4 linked regions of the Oryctolagus cuniculus genome follow. The protein of the gene in region 2 interacts with the protein of the main gene of each other region in a biochemical or structural test. Links are inferred from orthologs where the notes say so. Each region holds a gene or a part of one and is shown on either strand. Other genes may lie near its edges.

Evidence for each region.
Region 1: the proteins of ZBTB16 (region 2) and HBEGF form a complex in vitro, tested with the Homo sapiens proteins (2 studies listed by BioGRID). The link is inferred for Oryctolagus cuniculus from reciprocal best matches to the Homo sapiens genes ZBTB16 and HBEGF.
Region 3: the proteins of ZBTB16 (region 2) and HDAC4 form a complex in vitro, tested with the Homo sapiens proteins (2 studies listed by BioGRID). The link is inferred for Oryctolagus cuniculus from reciprocal best matches to the Homo sapiens genes ZBTB16 and HDAC4.
Region 4: the proteins of ZBTB16 (region 2) and HDAC5 form a complex in vitro, tested with the Homo sapiens proteins (2 studies listed by BioGRID). The link is inferred for Oryctolagus cuniculus from reciprocal best matches to the Homo sapiens genes ZBTB16 and HDAC5.

What each region holds. Positions count from the first base shown.
Region 1 is NC_091437.1:28,000,317-28,004,432, forward strand, and holds the start of HBEGF (proheparin-binding EGF-like growth factor), read right to left. Parts: upstream 2,801-4,116; 5' UTR 2,480-2,800; coding exon 2,434-2,479; intron 2,223-2,433; coding exon 2,049-2,222; intron 1-2,048. UniProt on the Homo sapiens protein: Growth factor that mediates its effects via EGFR, ERBB2 and ERBB4. Required for normal cardiac valve formation and normal heart function. Promotes smooth muscle cell proliferation. May be involved in macrophage-mediated cellular proliferation.
Region 2 is NC_091432.1:106,123,740-106,127,239, forward strand, and holds part of ZBTB16 (zinc finger and BTB domain-containing protein 16), read left to right. Parts: intron 1-3,298; coding exon 3,299-3,469; intron 3,470-3,500. UniProt on the Homo sapiens protein: Acts as a transcriptional repressor. Transcriptional repression may be mediated through recruitment of histone deacetylases to target promoters. May play a role in myeloid maturation and in the development and/or maintenance of other differentiated tissues.
Region 3 is NC_091434.1:1,481,123-1,485,290, reverse strand, and holds the start of HDAC4 (histone deacetylase 4), read right to left. Parts: upstream 2,801-4,168; 5' UTR 2,494-2,800; coding exon 2,433-2,493; intron 1-2,432. UniProt on the Homo sapiens protein: Responsible for the deacetylation of lysine residues on the N-terminal part of the core histones (H2A, H2B, H3 and H4).
Region 4 is NC_091448.1:19,129,351-19,133,430, reverse strand, and holds the start of HDAC5 (histone deacetylase 5), read right to left. Parts: upstream 2,801-4,080; 5' UTR 2,430-2,800; coding exon 2,279-2,429; intron 1-2,278. UniProt on the Homo sapiens protein: Responsible for the deacetylation of lysine residues on the N-terminal part of the core histones (H2A, H2B, H3 and H4).

The DNA.
Region 1 (4,116 bases), on a different chromosome or scaffold from region 2:
CCTTGCTCTGTGCCCTTTACAGCTCACCTACTTTCTCAAAGATCCATTTACATCTAGCCCCAAATGTCCTACTTAGAACCCTCTGGGAAGGGGGACACAATGTGTATAAGGGGTCAAGAGACGGAAAATAAGGAAGTAGAAAGAACTAGAATGATGATGACTGCTCCAGCCCACCCCACCCCACCCCACCAGCAATTTTTCCAGGCTTCAATGAGAAATACAACCTCACCCAGACATCCAGCTGGGACTGGCCATGGGCCACGCCCAGGGATAAGACACCAGCCCTGCCTACCCATTCCCAGCAGGGAAACCGTGCCCACATTCATGGTTACGGCCATGCATCTAGCAGAAGAGTACGCATGATCGTTAGACTGGACCTCTAGCATCCTCAAGCTGGAAGGGACTTCGAAGAATATCATGGCCTTCTGCTTTCAGATGAAAATGCTGAGGTCCCAAAGGTTGAATGACTTGCCTGAGGTCACGCAGGACTGGGGTTGAACTGTGGTCTCTGGACTTCACATCCAGTGTTCTTTCCCAGTAGGCTGAGTTGCCTGCCACGCTCCCACCAGTCTAGAGCATCTTAGATGTTGAGCCAGGAATGAACAGGCTCTGAAGTCAGCAGACGTGTGCTACGGTTTCAGCCATACAACCCCGGGCAAGTGGCTTGATGTGTCTGTAACTCGGGGTTCTTGGTCAAATATTGCAGAAGGTTGCAACGAGTGTTAAGCCAACCAAGCTAACACCTCGTGCCTAGAACATGACGCGTTTGTTAAATGGTAGCAGCTACTTATTTTAGCCTGGCTCTTCAGATCTGCAAACTGTCCCTTCCCAGCAAGACCAAGAGAAGGCAGAGGAGCAGGTGCAGGTGCTCCAGTCCCTGGTTTGCTCTAACCCACTCCTGGATCCCTTCAGAGCTCAGAAGATGAGGCAGGTAGTGAGAGAAACACAGTGAGCAGGGCTTGCAGGGGAGCAAGCACAGAGGGCCAAGCCAATCAGAAAGTGGAGATAGAGTGGCAGGGTGACAGCCAGGCTTCTCCTGGGGAGAGGGAGCAGTGAGTCAGGTCGGCAGAGGTATGAGGAGCAGCCGTGTGGGTGGGAGGTGAGTCACAGCCCAGCCCTGCCCAGCCTAGAAGAGGGCCAGGAGAATCCAGAGCCATGGGTGACCCCAGAGCGCCAGTGTGAGAGTGGGAGCCCAGGCCCAGCGTGGGGGCACACTCCGATTTCTACAAGGCAGAAAGAGCGTGCAAAGGAAGCTCCGGGTGGGGAGGGAGGTCAGCAGCTGAGGAGCAGGCAGGGCTGGAACAGGTGGGACGCTTTCCAACCAAATATGGTCATTCCGGGGCTCCAGGCCCGGGCCCTGCTCCACCCTGCGGAATCACTGCAGGTGGCTGGCCAGGGAAGCTGGCAGGCTCTGTACTCTGCTCTGGGCCTGTGCCCAGTCACAGCCACACAGGCTGGTTGCAGGATCCCCACGTGGCCCTTCTGTAGGGACTCACAGCAGTCAGAAGTTTCCAGGCTTCGGGTAGCCCTCACAGACACCCAGCATTTCAACAGCTCCCTAGGGACCCCCGTGCCCATCACCCATAGCCTCCCCCAGAGGTGCTGGCCTCACCTACAGGGGCCGAGAGCGCCTCATCGCCTTCTGTGTTCCCAGCTTGGATGGAGGACCTACCTAGGCAGAGGGGACCCACACTGCACATTGGCCCTGTGCCTGGGCACCTCCAGGGGTGTTATCTTAAAGTGGCATTGGGACTCGCACCCATTTCACACAGGAACCCTAGGGACAGCAGCTCAGCCATTCCTAGTTCCCACCATCCAATTTCCCTCAGAGCACAAGTTGCCTGTTTCAGTTTGTCCCAAGGTAGGGAGCCACCTAGCAGGTGAGACCCAAGGACAAGACAGAGTGAGACCTGAACCCCAGGATACACCCAGTCCTCCCGTCAGGCTGATCAGCCTTTCCTCGGGGGTCCTCCTTGCATACCCTCGACCCACAGAGAGAATTTCGGATCAGCCCAAGCCGGTCAGAGGACAGCAGCCTCCACACCTACCTCTGTACAGATCTGCCTCTTCCAAGTCCGGTACTTCCGGGCCGAAGCCACCTCCTGGGGTTAGCAGCTGGTCCTGGTCCGTAGCTCCAGTGGGAGGGTCTGGGTTGCTGGTTCCAGTCGCCAACCCTCTCCGAAGCCGTTCCAAGCTGTCACCAGTCACCAACGCGGAGAGCACTGCAAGCAAGGGGCGAGGCTGCATCAGACCCCTACCCCAGACTCAGGGCCACCACGCACCGACGCCCACGCCCGCTCGCTAGCCCGCCAGGGCGCACGGGCCCCACCAAGTGGCCCGCGCCGGGGGCGCTGCAGCGACCTTCCTCCGTGCACCCAGCACAGCGCCCCCCTCCCCCACCCCGACCTCCGGGGGCGTCAGCAGCCGTCTCACCTGCAGCCAGAAAGAGCTTCAGCACCATCGACGGCAGCAGCTTCATGGTCGCGGACCGAGTGGAGGCGGCGAGGCAGCAATCACTTTGAAGGCGGCGGCCAAGGGGCCAGCAGGGGAGCCAGGCGAAGGGGCGCAGGAGATTCGCGGGGTACAGTCTGCCGCCCACCTCTGGGTGCACACCCGGCTGGGGACCCGCGCGCAGCTACCGGCTGCTGTGCGTCTGTCCGCTCGCTCCGTCCGTACGCCCGAGCCGCTGCACCTAGGTCAGGCCGAGCACCCGCGTGCGGCGCGCAGCTCCCTCGGCAGACTGAGCGCTCCCGGCGCGCGGCCGGGAATAAGGCTCCGGGAGGCAACCAGGCTCCGCCCCGCCCGGCGCCGCCCCCTCCCCCTCCCTCGCCGGGAAGCGCGCCCGGCTCGCGGCGCCGGCAGCGCAGCCCCCGACCCTGCGGGCGCGGCGGAGGCAGGGAGCGAAGGAGGAGGAGGCGGCGGCGGCGCTCACATTTTTGGGGACCAGGCCAGGGCCGGCGCGGCCTGACTGTGAGTAGGGCTGTTGGCCGGCAGGAGGCGGGAATCAATACCTACCTTTCCCCAAAAGCCTGTCGCTCTGCAGCCTTGTGACTGCTGAGCTGAGCTCTTGTTCCGGGTCTGCTCCCTTGGGCGGTCCTTACTCTCTACCAGGGGTCTCTACACGTGTCACCTTCCGAGATTCAGAAGCCCATTTTTGGGTCTACTAACACAGCAGATAGTAAATAATTATCTGCTTCTCATTTAAACATTAGGTGCCTGAACGCCAGCAGGTGTCAAGCTGGGGCGAGCCACAAAGTTGCAGGTGCTTGGTGTCAATCCAGCAAAACCCAAGGAGGTGTGAAGATTCTCTCGGAGCTGGAGTGGCTTCCCCTCACCTGTTCCCTGGGTCACAGCAGCAGGCTCAGGAAAGCCAGCTTCAAACTTTTTCTCGCGGTTTCCCCATACTTCTGCATCCCCACCCCCACCCACTCCTTTGAAAGTTCCCCTGGGACCGGGGCCTGGCTAACCTAGACTGCTGTGTTCAACAGGTGCCAGGATTTTGATGTGTTTCTCTTCCAGCCCTTATATTTTTACAGGGGTTTTCTGGAGTCACTTGTCCTGACCCAAAGAAATGACTCTCTCAGTAGATATTTCAGCTCCCAGGGACATGCTGGGAGGGAGTTGTTTGACACAGGGCTGGGTTGGCATTCGGAGCTCTCAGCTTGTGCCAGATGGAGCCCTGGCCTGATTCAGCCCTGTGTAGGGATAAAAACAGGCCTGCTATTTATATGCAGTCGATCCCACTCTCCCTCCCCCACCCCCATCTTTACAGGGGTCACTCTGGCTCTGCCCTCTTCCCTTGCCCCAGCAACCCTCCACCGTCCTAGGATTCCCCGGTGCACTGGAATCACTACAGACTTGGCTTTTGCATCCTGCCCTTGCTGCTTCCTCAATGACCTTGGATAAGATATGGAATGTCACTGAGCCTCGGTTTCCACATTTCTCAAATGGGGACAATAGCAATGATGATAAACGTGTGGAGAGCTTTTGGAGGACTCCCCCCACCTGCTGTTCATAAAGGAGTCTGTGCATACTGCCAACTGTCATCGCTGATCATTCCACTGGGACCCCTCTTTCTCTCCCTTCTCCTAGACTCCTTGCCTACCCTAGGCCAGG
Region 2 (3,500 bases):
GCTTGGGAAAAACTTGCACCTTGTGGGATGTCCTAGGAGGTGGAGAGAGACCACTAGGAGGACACGGCAGCATTTCCTTCGCAGGTCAGAGGTTCAGGCAGACCTGGTGAACCTGTCAGCAAGACTCTGAGCGGGCCGCCTGGAGCTCCACGTGTGTTTCTTCTTCCCTGCTCAATCCCAGGCCCTGGTCCTGCCGCGCTGTCTCCCTGGGATTTTATTTCTCCGCCCCTCTTCCTGTGCTCACAGCACCTGTCCTGATCTGGCCCCCACCCTCTCCCAGTGGTAGCCCAAGAGCCATCGGCTCTCTTCCTGCTTCCAGCCACTTGCCGTGGCTCTTGGTCCCTGCATTGTGCCAGAGACCCTGCCCTTCTCCGGCACAGGCCATGCCGAGCCAGCACCACGCTTGTGCAACAACTGACCGTAGGTGAGCAGCTTCTGCACAGTAGAGAGCTGTTGCTCCAGTCCTGCAGGCTGGGAGGTTTGAGATCGGGATGAGCGCGGGCAGGTGCTGGTCCCTCTTCTAGGTTGCAGGCTGTGATGTGTCCTCACCTGGTGCAAGGGGCAGGGGAGCCCTCTGGGGTCCTTTTTATAAGAGCACTAGTCCCATTCGTGACCAGACCGGACACTCCCAGAGGCCCTTCCTGCGAATACCATCACTTTGGGGTTAGGATGTCTGCATCCAGCTCTTTGGAGAGACACAGACATCAGACCCTGGCAACCCCCAGTACCTGTGTGGCACTGCTGTGTTACCTGTAGAATGATCTGAGCTGTCTCACCTGGCACCTGTGCCCCAGTCACCTTCCCCGCTTATCTCCATCCCCAGGGCCTGTCCTCTGGCTCCACCTGCTCTGAAATTGGCCTGTGGCATTTCCTTAGCTTGGAAAATATGCCCACCTCCTAGTCCTTGCTTCTCATTTCTTAAAGCCTGACTCAGAATCTTCCCTGAAGCCCCCAGAGTCACCTGCCTTACCCTCTGTTGGCTTGCCAGTGGCCTCCACTGGTCTCGGACCCAGTTTTCTCTGCTTGACCTCAGCCTTGCCCTGGTCACCTCGCATGGTGCCTGCTTCAGTGGATATCGAGTGGCTTGGGCCATCCTGGGAAGTAGGGCTGGCATAGTGGGGCAGCTTCAAGGGACCTTGGGAAGGCTAAAGGGGCAGATGGCTGCAGGAGTCTGTCTGCCCTGCTGAGTGATAGCAGCACTTAAGAGTACCCTGAGCCTGGCTTGCTAGGCCCGGGGTGTCCTCCTGGGGTTGCCATAGATGGTGTTCATACATGTTCTGACCTGGGAGCCTCAGAAGATTGTTGTTAAAGGGTGTGGCTGGCCCAGGAAGCCTGCTCCACCTTGGTGATTTAAGGTGGATATTTGAACGCCTAGCTTGATTGGGACTGTCTGTGGGGTGACAGAGAGGGTGCCAGTCCTGGGTAGGACCCAGGGCTCAAGCAGCGGGGACTATTGCCACAGAACGTGTTGCAGATGCACTCCACTCCTGTGTATGTTCAGGACTCACTGTCAGCTCTTGGGCTGCTCTGCCCAGGCACACCATTTCCCTCTGCGTGTCCCCCTCCATCAGGTGGAGCCAGCCCCCTCATCACAACCTCTCAGAGATCCTGCTGGCTTTAAGAAGTGTTAGAAAACTTCAGAGGAGGGCTGTGCCTTGTGACCCAGCTCCCCACCCACTCTTCCTGGCCCAGAGCTCCAGAGCCGTTCCTGGAGGAGGCCCTGGGTGCACTGGTGCCTCTTGCTGTCATTCCTGTGCCTTTTTTGGGGAGATCCAGACAGACATGTGCCAGCCTTGAAGTACAGCTGGGCTCAACCCCATGGTTTCTAAAAGCAGACAGACGAAGCTATTTCCAGATCCCAACTCTGCCCCTTTCTACTGGGTGGCCTTAGCCAAGTTATTTGGTTTCTGCTTTCCCATTTTGAAGAAAGGGGGTAAGAATGGCTGCCTGGTACACTTGGAAGTTTTAAAGGAGATGACGTCTAGATAAAGTACTTAGCACAGTGCCTGCACTGGTTTCCCTTCCCTTCTGCTCTTTGAGGGCCAGGGGCAGAATCCTGTGTTCACTTGTGCTCCCCACCCCTTGCTCAGCCTCCCTGACTGCTGGGGAGGGGAGCATGGTTGCAGGGGCCTGGGATTCAGTGTCTGCAAAGGGAAGGGGGGTCTATGGGTGGATGTGAGGGGTTGGGCAGAGGCTGCCCCCGTCTTCTCAGGCTATTCCAAACTCAGCTACAAATGGGACTGATGTGGTGAGACCCAGACTGCCCATTGGCTGTCTACCTTGCTGGGCTGAGAAGGCAGCAAGGTGTATCATACAGTCCTCTCTCTTCACCCCCAGCTGCCGCCAGAAACTCCCTGGTTCTATACCTAGTCACGATGACCTGGCACCCAGTCCGCTGTGGGCTGATTGATAGGCGCTAGGCCTGACCACCTTTTCTGCTTTGTGTCCCTTGCCCAGGGGATAGTGGTGTGGGGCTAAGCACAAGTGACATAGCCAGGAAGCCAGCAGACATGGCCAAAGAACTGGAATCCAGTATGGTGGGCAAGGAGCTACCATCTAGGACTTGGGCTCCTGTGTTGCTAGAGCCAAGAAGGCCATGGCTCAGAGCAGCCAAAGAGAACATCCTACTTGTAGAAGGCACCAAAATGACATCCTTATTTGTTGAATGAATGGGCCTTTCAGATTCCTGCTTTAGCGAATGGAGAAGTAGCTGAAAGCCTAGGGTCTATAGCAGGTCTTAGGAAAGAATTCAAATCCAGGCAGCTGGCTGTATATCCGAGATATTCCCACTTGGAAACTCCATGGATCATTGCACAAGTTACTCAGTTTCTATGTGCTTCAGACTCCTTATATGAAGGGTGAGGTGAGTACAGCCTACCTTTTGGAATTGTGGTTTAGAATGAGTTACGTTAGAACGATGCCAAGCCTCTGTCTTCCTCATCATTGTTTTTCCTCTTCCACTCCTGCTGCAGATTCTGCAGAGCCCCTCTGCACTGTGTCCTTAGTACCCTGCCTTCTGCATAGCACCCAGCTCTACTGCAGAGGCAGGTTGGCCGCTGTGATGTATTTGCTTAACAGCTTTCTCCCTCTAGACTTTAGGTTCCGCCTGATGCCACGTGAGTGACTCGACTGTACAGCCCTGACGCCACGTGGGTGACTCGGCTGCCTCCGGATTTGCTCCTGAGCCTGGGCACCTGGGGGTGCTAGTCCTGAGGCTGGTTCTCCCTGTGCCCTGAATGGGTTGATGGTGGCCTTGTGTGTCCACCTCCTGAGGCTCTTCCTTCTGCTGTCTTCCCAGGCACAGACATGGCCGTCTTCTGTCTGCTGTGTGGGAAGCGCTTCCAGGCACAGAGCGCGCTCCAGCAGCACATGGAGGTCCACGCAGGCGTGCGTAGCTACATCTGCAGCGAGTGCAACCGCACCTTCCCCAGCCACACGGCCCTGAAACGCCACCTGCGCTCACACACAGGTAGGCCCATCCAGGTGGTGGGTGGGGGTCT
Region 3 (4,168 bases), on a different chromosome or scaffold from region 2:
CACCTGCCCCAGGGGGCGGGGCTGCTCTCTCTCACCTGCCCCAGGGGCCAAGCCACCCTAACCCCCTTATGTTCATGATGTGAACCGAAAGTGGAAAAGGCTCCTTACTTAAACCACAGGACACCTGCTCAACCACAGCCCCCAGGCTCCAGGCCCTGGTAACACAGGAGTGGTGGTGTAAGAGCCAACTGACGGGGCCGGTGCTGTGGTGTAGTGGGTAAAGTTGCTCCCTGCTGTGCCAGCATCCCACGTGGGTGCTGGTTCCAATCCTGGCTGTTCCACTTCTGATCCAGCTTCTTGCTATGAGCCTGAGAAAGCTGCAGAAGATAGTCCTGGGCCCCTGCACTCATGTGGGAGACCTGGAGGAAGCTCCTGGCTCCTGCCTTCAGCCTGCCCTGCCCTGGCTGTTGCAGCATTTGGGGAGTGAACCAGCAGATGGAAGCTCTCTCTTTCTCTTTCTCTCTCTCTCTCTGTCTTCCATCTCTCCCTCTCTGTAACTCTGCCTTTCAAATAAATAAATAAATAAATAGCCAAGGCAAGACCCTTCCCCAATGTCCCCAGCAAATCACCAGGCAGCCACAGCCCCACTTCCCACTTACCCCTAGGCCAGGACACCACTGGTGGAGAAAACTTTCCAAAGAGACCACAGGAACCCGTAGGGATGTCCAGGGTATATGGGGATGCGGGGGCGGGGGGGCTGCACCTGTGTCCACCTCCCTGGGGAAGCTCCATGCCCCGGGTCTGGAGAGTCAGGGAGGAGTGGGGGCCCCAGGGGCTGGCCAGGTTGGGCTGTGCCATCCCAGCATCTCCTGGGCCTCAGACACTCCATCGACCCCCGGGGGTAGAGCCCTCAGGACGTCCATGCTCAACTGGGCCTGCACCTTGTCTGGAAAGACAGGAGGAGAGCTTGGGCACAACGCCCCGAGCCCCAGGGTGGGCTCCACGTTCCAACAGCCACCCTGGGATGGATGGGAACTGTGTCCAGGATCCTCCGGGAAGCATGAACTATTTTTAAAAACAGAAGCAGGGGCTATATTTAGAAATGAAACACTGAAGAGCCTGCCTCCTGGTGAGGCCCTACAGCCCAAGCAGGGAGGCGGGAGAGGAGCCTCCAAGGGTGGGAGCCCCAAGACCTCGGGGGCCAGGTGGTCACAACCAGGTCCCCACTGCTGGCCAGGAGCCCGCAGGGCAGGGGTGCTCCGCGAGCAGAAAGGCATGTCCCCCCCACCCCGTCCTTGCGCAGGAAACACGGGCACTGCTGCGGCCCGCCCCGGCAGCTCACTGAGCACCCCAAGTCCACTTCCCAACACGGACGGGGCACTCGCTCGCGTAACTGTCTGACGGCCACACCGGTTCTAGGCGAGCACGGCCGCGACGGCCCCTCCTCAGCTTCCTCTTAGAACGGGTGAAGCGGAGCGAGGCCGGTGAGCGTTCTCCACTTCTTTCCAGACGCTGCGGCCCGAAGCGCCCAGAACCGTCACGCACGCCTGTCCCTACAGCACTGGGATTCCTGACATCTGCACAGCCAGGACCCAGCTGCAGCCCCCTCCCGCACAGCATGGCGTGGCCCCCCAGCCTCTCTGCTCCCTCAGGTGTGTTTTAAAACGACGAAGCTGCGTGAACACATCTCGCCAGGCCCAGCACCCAGGAAACGCTCCCCTGCACAGGAGCCACGGCCCACAGACACGGTGAGCGGGAGAGCCCGGCACAGAGCCCCGCCCTTGGGACGGGAAGGAGCCGGGATCCCCTTCTACCTCCGACACAGGCTCTGGTGACCCGGGACGCGGGATCGCCTGTGTGGCTTCCGGCCACAGCCCTTCCTAGTGAGAAAGCAACACTTCCATAGCTTTAACCAACCAGGGTGAGGGGCCCGGCCACACCCCGAGCTCCGCTCCAGCGTCTCCTTAGCACAGCGAGGAAGCCGCAGCTTTCCCCAGCAGATCCGTGACCGAACGGAAAGAGCAGCGGAGACGCCTCTGGTTCTGGTCCGAGTGAAACACGCAGCCTTCACCCGAGGCCACGGCGGCTTCCAGCCAGGGAGACCACACTTCTGACGGACGGGGTGTGCCTTTCACTCCCCAAGGGCACCCAGCGCCCACCTCTGCGCGGGGCAGGGCTCGGCCCCCAGCACAGCACGGAGGCCTCTGCTGCCCGCGAGCTGCCTCTTTAGGGCCCCGAGTGTGGAGCAGCCAGCCCTCAGTAAGCGCTCACTGGCCCCGGCCACACAGCCAGTCCCTGACCAACCACACCTCCCCCCTTCACTCCTAATCCGGAGCCCTTTGGAGGCATCTCGCAGGCCAAGGGCGGTGGCCAGAGCCCTCGGCCCCAGCATTCTAACCCGGGTCCGCTAACAAGTCACCAGGCCGCAGCGCGCCGGAACCCCGGGACGCGTGTCTGCCCGCAGAGGCACTCCTAGCCCACCGGCACTTTACCTTCAGGCAGGACTTCTGCTCGTGCCCAGAGACCCGTCAGCAGTCGCTCCTCCGAGGGCATTCGATGGTTTCACGGGGCGGCGGCCCAGGCCCTGCCTGCTCCCGGGCGCTGGCTGAGGACGGCTCCCTCGGCCCCGCCCTGACATCTGGTTTCCATTTCACCTCCATGTTGTCACATTACATAACAGACAGATGATACACGGGATCGCCACGAGAGGCTCGGCTGGCGGCTTGCGCAGCACACTGTTTACGTTCCGGCCCAGCCACGCCAGGGCAGGCTCACGCAGCACTGGCAGCAAACGCGCGCCGGGCAAGCGCCCTGCTCCTGCCCTCCTCACACCCCACGCTCACGGCTGAGGCAAGCGCTCGCCTGCGGCCTGACGGAGGTTCGTCTTTGAAGACAGGCAGCAACGCGGCCACAGCAGCCTGAGTCGCGGGAGCCTGGGAGACCCACAGCCAACAGGAGGGGCGATCGGGAGCCTCCCCGGGGAAGCGGCCACCCCCACCCCTCCTGCCCCTCCGGAGCTTGCCTAGGGAGACGGGGTCACCCCAAACATGCCCACCCCCCACCCCGGGCTCTGCTGTGACAGCAGGGCCGGGGCTCCCTCCCACGCCTGGCCTCTCTGGTCAAGATGTCCCCTCCAGGGCTGGGTGCTTGGCACAGCAGTTAAACCACGGCTTGGGACACCGCATCCCGCGTGGGGGCACTGGCTGAGTCAGCTCCACTCTGCACCCCAGCTTCCTGCTAACAGGTACCCCGGGAGGCACCAGGAGACGGCTCAGATGGCTGGGTTCCCGATACCCACGTGGGAGACCCAGATTGAGTGACCGCTGGCTTCAGCCTGGCCCAGCCCTGACTTGGAGACATCTGGGAAATTTCTGTCTTTGTCCCCTCCACAGTGGGGAGAGCATGTGGTTGGCGAACAACTTAGGGGCTTCGGAAGCAGCTAGCACTCAGAAGCAAACCACCGAACCACAGGAAGTCTGACCGGTGAGCGGGCCATCCAGGCCGCCATCCCTGGGGGGACTGTGCAAACAGAGCTGAGCGCCGAAGCCGCTTCTCATTACTACAGACTGGGCAAGGCCCGGCGTGCCAGCGGCCAGCTGTGGGCCATCCCCGCGTCCCTGACTGCCGGGGCCGGGGGCGGGCTCCAGGCTCCAGGCTCAGGCTCCAGGCTCCAGGCTCAGGCTCAGTCTCCAGGTTCAGGCTCAGGCTCAGGCTCCAGGCTCAGGCTCCAGGCTCAGGCTCAGGCTCCAGGCTCAGGCTCAGGCTCAGGCTCCAGGCTCAGGCTCCAGGCTCAGGCTCAGGCTCCAGGCTCAGGCTCAGTCTCCAGGTTCAGGCTCAGGCTCAGGCTCCAGGCTCAGGCTCCAGGCTCAGGCTCAGTCTCCAGGTTCAGGCTCAGGCTCAGGCTCCAGGCTCAGGCTCCAGGCTCAGGCTCAGGCTCCAGGCTCAGGCTCCAGGCTCACGTTCAGGCTCAGGCTCAGGTTCAGGCTCCAGGCTCACGTTCAGGCTCAGGCTCAGGCTCAGGCTCAGGCTCAGGCTCCAGGCTCAGGCTCAGGCTCAGGCTCAGGCTCCAGGCTCAGGCTCAGGCTCAGGCTCAGGCTCCAGGCTCAGGCTCAGGCTCAGGCTCAGGCTCAGGCTCCAGGCTCAGGCTCAGGCTCAGGCTCCAGGCTCCAGGTTCAGGCTCAGGCTCCAGGCTCAGGCTCAGGCTCCAGGCTCCAGGCTCCAGGCTCAG
Region 4 (4,080 bases), on a different chromosome or scaffold from region 2:
ACCACGGGTGGACGCCAAGATTCACCTCCCACACCCCAGGCCCCTGAAGCAACAACAGCAGAGCCCCAGGCTCCACGGCTCAGCTGCTGGGGCGACACACTGGAGCTGGCTATTCACCCAGAGGGCCGAGCCCCTGGCCAGCAACCCCAGCCCTTCCTGTAACATTCATTCATCCCAGGGCCGGGCACTATGGTAGCCGCAGGGCAATGGCAGTGAGCAAGACTCCCCAAAGAAGAAGGCCGCCCCCCAGACAGGGTTCCTGCGACTTGCTGCTAGAGGTAGCAGCTGCCACCACCCTGAAGAGCCCCTCGTCCCAACCCCTTGGGCTAGGGACGCCTGTGCGACACGTTCAGCCCCAAAGCGCATCCCTGCATCCCGGCTGCAGAGGGATCAGGAGGGGGACCGGGAGGCGGGGGAGGGGCTGGGGTGGGGAGGGAATCACCAGGCTGACTGGGCCCTCATGGCCATGTTTATCCAGGGAGGATTTTTTTTTTAACCCAAAGGTTAAAGTGTTTCTATTTGAAACGTCTATTTACATTCCAGAGTCCAAAAAAAAAACAAGGCCGCCGAGCTCCAGGCCTATATCTGTCCCGAGCCGCGTCACAGACACAGCATCAGAGCCGCGCAGGGGGAACATTCCTCGGCCTCTCCCCGAGCTGCTGAGGTGACTCACGCCTCTCCCCTGCCAGCATGGACCATGCCACCACGCAGCAGGCCGGGCAGCGGCGGGGGCGGGGGGGCCAGGGCAGGTGGGCTTAGCGAAGGGCTGGGGGAGCAGGGTTGTGGCCTGCGAGGTTCCTGGGGTCTACCTCGAAATGTGAAGAGGAACCCTGGGCCCGAGCTGGCTGCAGCTTGTAGGCTACCGAGCAGCAGGGGCGGGGTGGGATGGGCTGGCTGGTGTGGCCGCCGGTAGAGCTGCCCCCAGCAGATGCTCTGGGCGACTGTTCATTTTGCTTTGCAAGAGACTGCCTGGAGTCGCAGAGGCTGAAAGCCAGCCAGAAAGGTCCTTAGCTCAAGCTCAGAACTGGGTAGGCACGAGTGAGCGCCTCTGTGGACGCCCACCTAGTCCCAGGGGCCTGCATGGACCCTGCAGGGCTGGTCTCCACGCTGTGCCCCCACGCTAGGATGCCGCACGGAAATCCCTGCCCAGGCAGGTGGCAGGCCATGTGCCAAGGCTTTTCCAAACCCTTCCCAAAACATTCATCCTCTGACACATCCCAGTTCCATTGTAACCTTCTCCCTAGCCAGCCCTGAGCCACAGGAACCTGCAGAGGCACACACTTCCCACCTTCTAACTCGAAGCTTGGGATCCACACCCACGTAACCAGAGGCAAGGACTCCCTATGCACGGGCGCGCGCGCGCACACACACACACACACACAGTGCCAAGCCACTGCCAGGAGGGGCAGGTGGGCGTGGGTCCAGCAGGCTCCTCCCTGGAGGAAGCATCCTGTGGTGCCGGCCTGGTGGGGAGGCTGTGCCAGCAAGGCCTGATGCTGCCAACAGGTTCCTGGGAGTGAGGGAAGGAGTGGCCCGGCTCTGGGGGACCCCACCCCCAGCCAAGGGCTGAAAGCATTGCTGCTGCGAAGGCAGCCGGGGAAGGGGCCATCCTGCAGCCAGGGCTGGGGGTCCGGAAGCCCATCTGAGCCAGAGCAATGCCTCTGCATCCTAGAGAGGTGGGGCTGAGGCCAGGCCCGGGGAGAGGGGAGACATGGGGGAGCCGGGAGCCGGGGCAGCCGCGCCCCCCGCACGCCAACCGCCAGCCTCTGTGGAACCCCCCACAACCACACAGCATCTCCCCCACAGTGTCCGATCCTCAGACGCCGCCTGACTGGGGACCTGCTGAAATCACTGCACTCGACCCTCTACCCAGCACAAACCAGCCGAAGCAGCTGGGTCGCTTCAGCGTCTTCCCCTGCCCCAAGCTGGGGAGCAGGCAGCCTGGAGCCAGGTCTCTGGCCCACTTCCTCCCCCTTGACCGTGGTGCCAACTAGGCCAGGAGCCTCAAGTAATCCCCAGCCCCCAGCAGCTGGGACAGACCCTGCCGGAAGCCAAAGGGACGGGAGGGATGCAGCGTGGTGCAGCTGCGTGGCCCGGGGGAAGGCAGCCACCTGTGAGCACCCTGCCCTGCCCCCTGCCGAGCCCCACGGATGCTCACCGCCACCCTCGAGAGAGCCTGAAGCAGGAGCCCACCTGGGCAGGGCTCAGAGCCAGCTGCTCTGCCTCAGGGACCAGGATGCCCAAGAACAGAGCCCAAGGAGGGCGCCGAGGCACTCACCTGCCACGGGGATGCTGTGCAGAGGAGTCCGGGGCAGGATCTCCAGGGCTGGTTCCCGGCCTGACATGCCATCTGCTGAGAAACAGGATTCCGTCTCGTAGATGGTCTGCAGCATCTCCACCAGCCCCTGCGCCTTGGGCACCAGCAGCATGCCAGGGAGGGGCCGCCTGAGGCGGGGAGCCGATGCGGGGAAGGTGCCGGGTGCGGTCTGCACTGCTCAGGGGCTCCCTGAGGCCACGGCTGCCGGGACCCGCACTGTGGGGAGGCGCCTCATCCGGCCTGGGCGCTCCTAGTGGTGGCAGGGGCAGGAGGGGCCCCGGGGCCCTGGAACCGTGGCCTAGCTCTCCCCAGAGGGGCGCCGACCACTGGCGCGTCCTCAGTTCCCAGGAGCTGGGGTCTGGCTGAGCACTCAGGGGACAGGAAGAGGAGCTCGTTGGGCAGACGGGCTCTCTGTGTTCCCTCCCAGCCCCGGGTGACAGCTCTGGGCCTGGCTCCCTGCTCCTCCTTCCCGAATGAGCCGCCGGCAGCTGGCAGGAGACTGAAATAGCAGTTGGGGGAGGGCCCTGTCTATAAATAGGTGGAGCATGCTCAGGGAGCCGCCGGCCGGCTGCCAGGAGCCCGGCCTGGCGGAGGCCCCATGGGGGAGGCGCGTTCCACCCCAGGAGGAAGCGCCAGGCGAGGGGGATGGGAGCGGGGGAGAGCCTGCACTCAGGGCCAAGGCCAGGGTACTCGGGCGTGGGCTGGGAGCAAGGGGCTCGATCAAGAAGTCAGACTTGGTCTGGTCCTGCCACCCAAAGCAGGAAAAGAAATGGAAGGGGCTGGGAGAGACTGGCAGACACCCGGCCACCTGGCCTAACCTTGCACCTTGCCTGGAGTTCTCTCAACAGCTGCCTGGGGATTTGTTTAACTTTTGCCCTCCCCACCCCCTCAACCAGCAGGGAGCCCCCTGGACAGCCAGACACTCAATGGCAGCTCCCTCCGGTCCTCTCTGCAGTGCTGGCCTCCAGGGGCTGCCTCCCAGGGGGCAGGGAGCCTCGTATTGGGCAGGCCTCAGTCCAGGCCAGGAAAGGGGACGGGGACCAGACAGCAGCTGCCAGTTCTCAGAGCACAGGAAGCACTTCCCTGGCAGCATGTCGCGTGCGCTGCTGGGAGCATCATACACATCACCTAATTTATCCTGCATGATGACCTCGGGAGTGAGGTACAGGTAGGGAAACCGAGGCCCAGAGCAATGAAGTCACTCATCCTAGGTCACATAGCTGCTTACACAGGGGGCTGGGACATCCGGGGTGCAAAGCTGAGCTCTAACCACCACACTGCACTGCCTCCCATGCAAGTTAATGCACGTAGCTGGCCCTGGGTTTCCCGGAACAGGTCCGATGATCCCCACACCCAAGGAGGAAATGATTTGAGGTTGGAGCCCTCCAGGAAGAGTGAAGAGTCCCCCCTCAACCAGCCTCGGGCTGGCAGAGCAGCCCCTGTTACTTGGACCCTGCTGGGACCTGGGGCCATGGGCCTGCCCTCGCCACTGCTGGCCTGCCTCACCTCCCCAGCTTACACCTCCCACTAGTGTAGAGATCCCACTTGGCCTCCTGACCTCACTGGAGCCTTTTAATAGCCTGGTTATTCCTGGGTCTCTATCCCCCTCCCCCTTCCTGATGTCACAGTTGCTATTTTGGAGCCCTCTCCTGGCCCCTCCTTGCCCCCTACTCCAGGCATGGAGCCAGGGACACCTGTCTCTGGACTGAATGACCTCACCCTCCTGTCAGAGCCTGGGAGAAGCTGGCCAGCCAAGGACACGG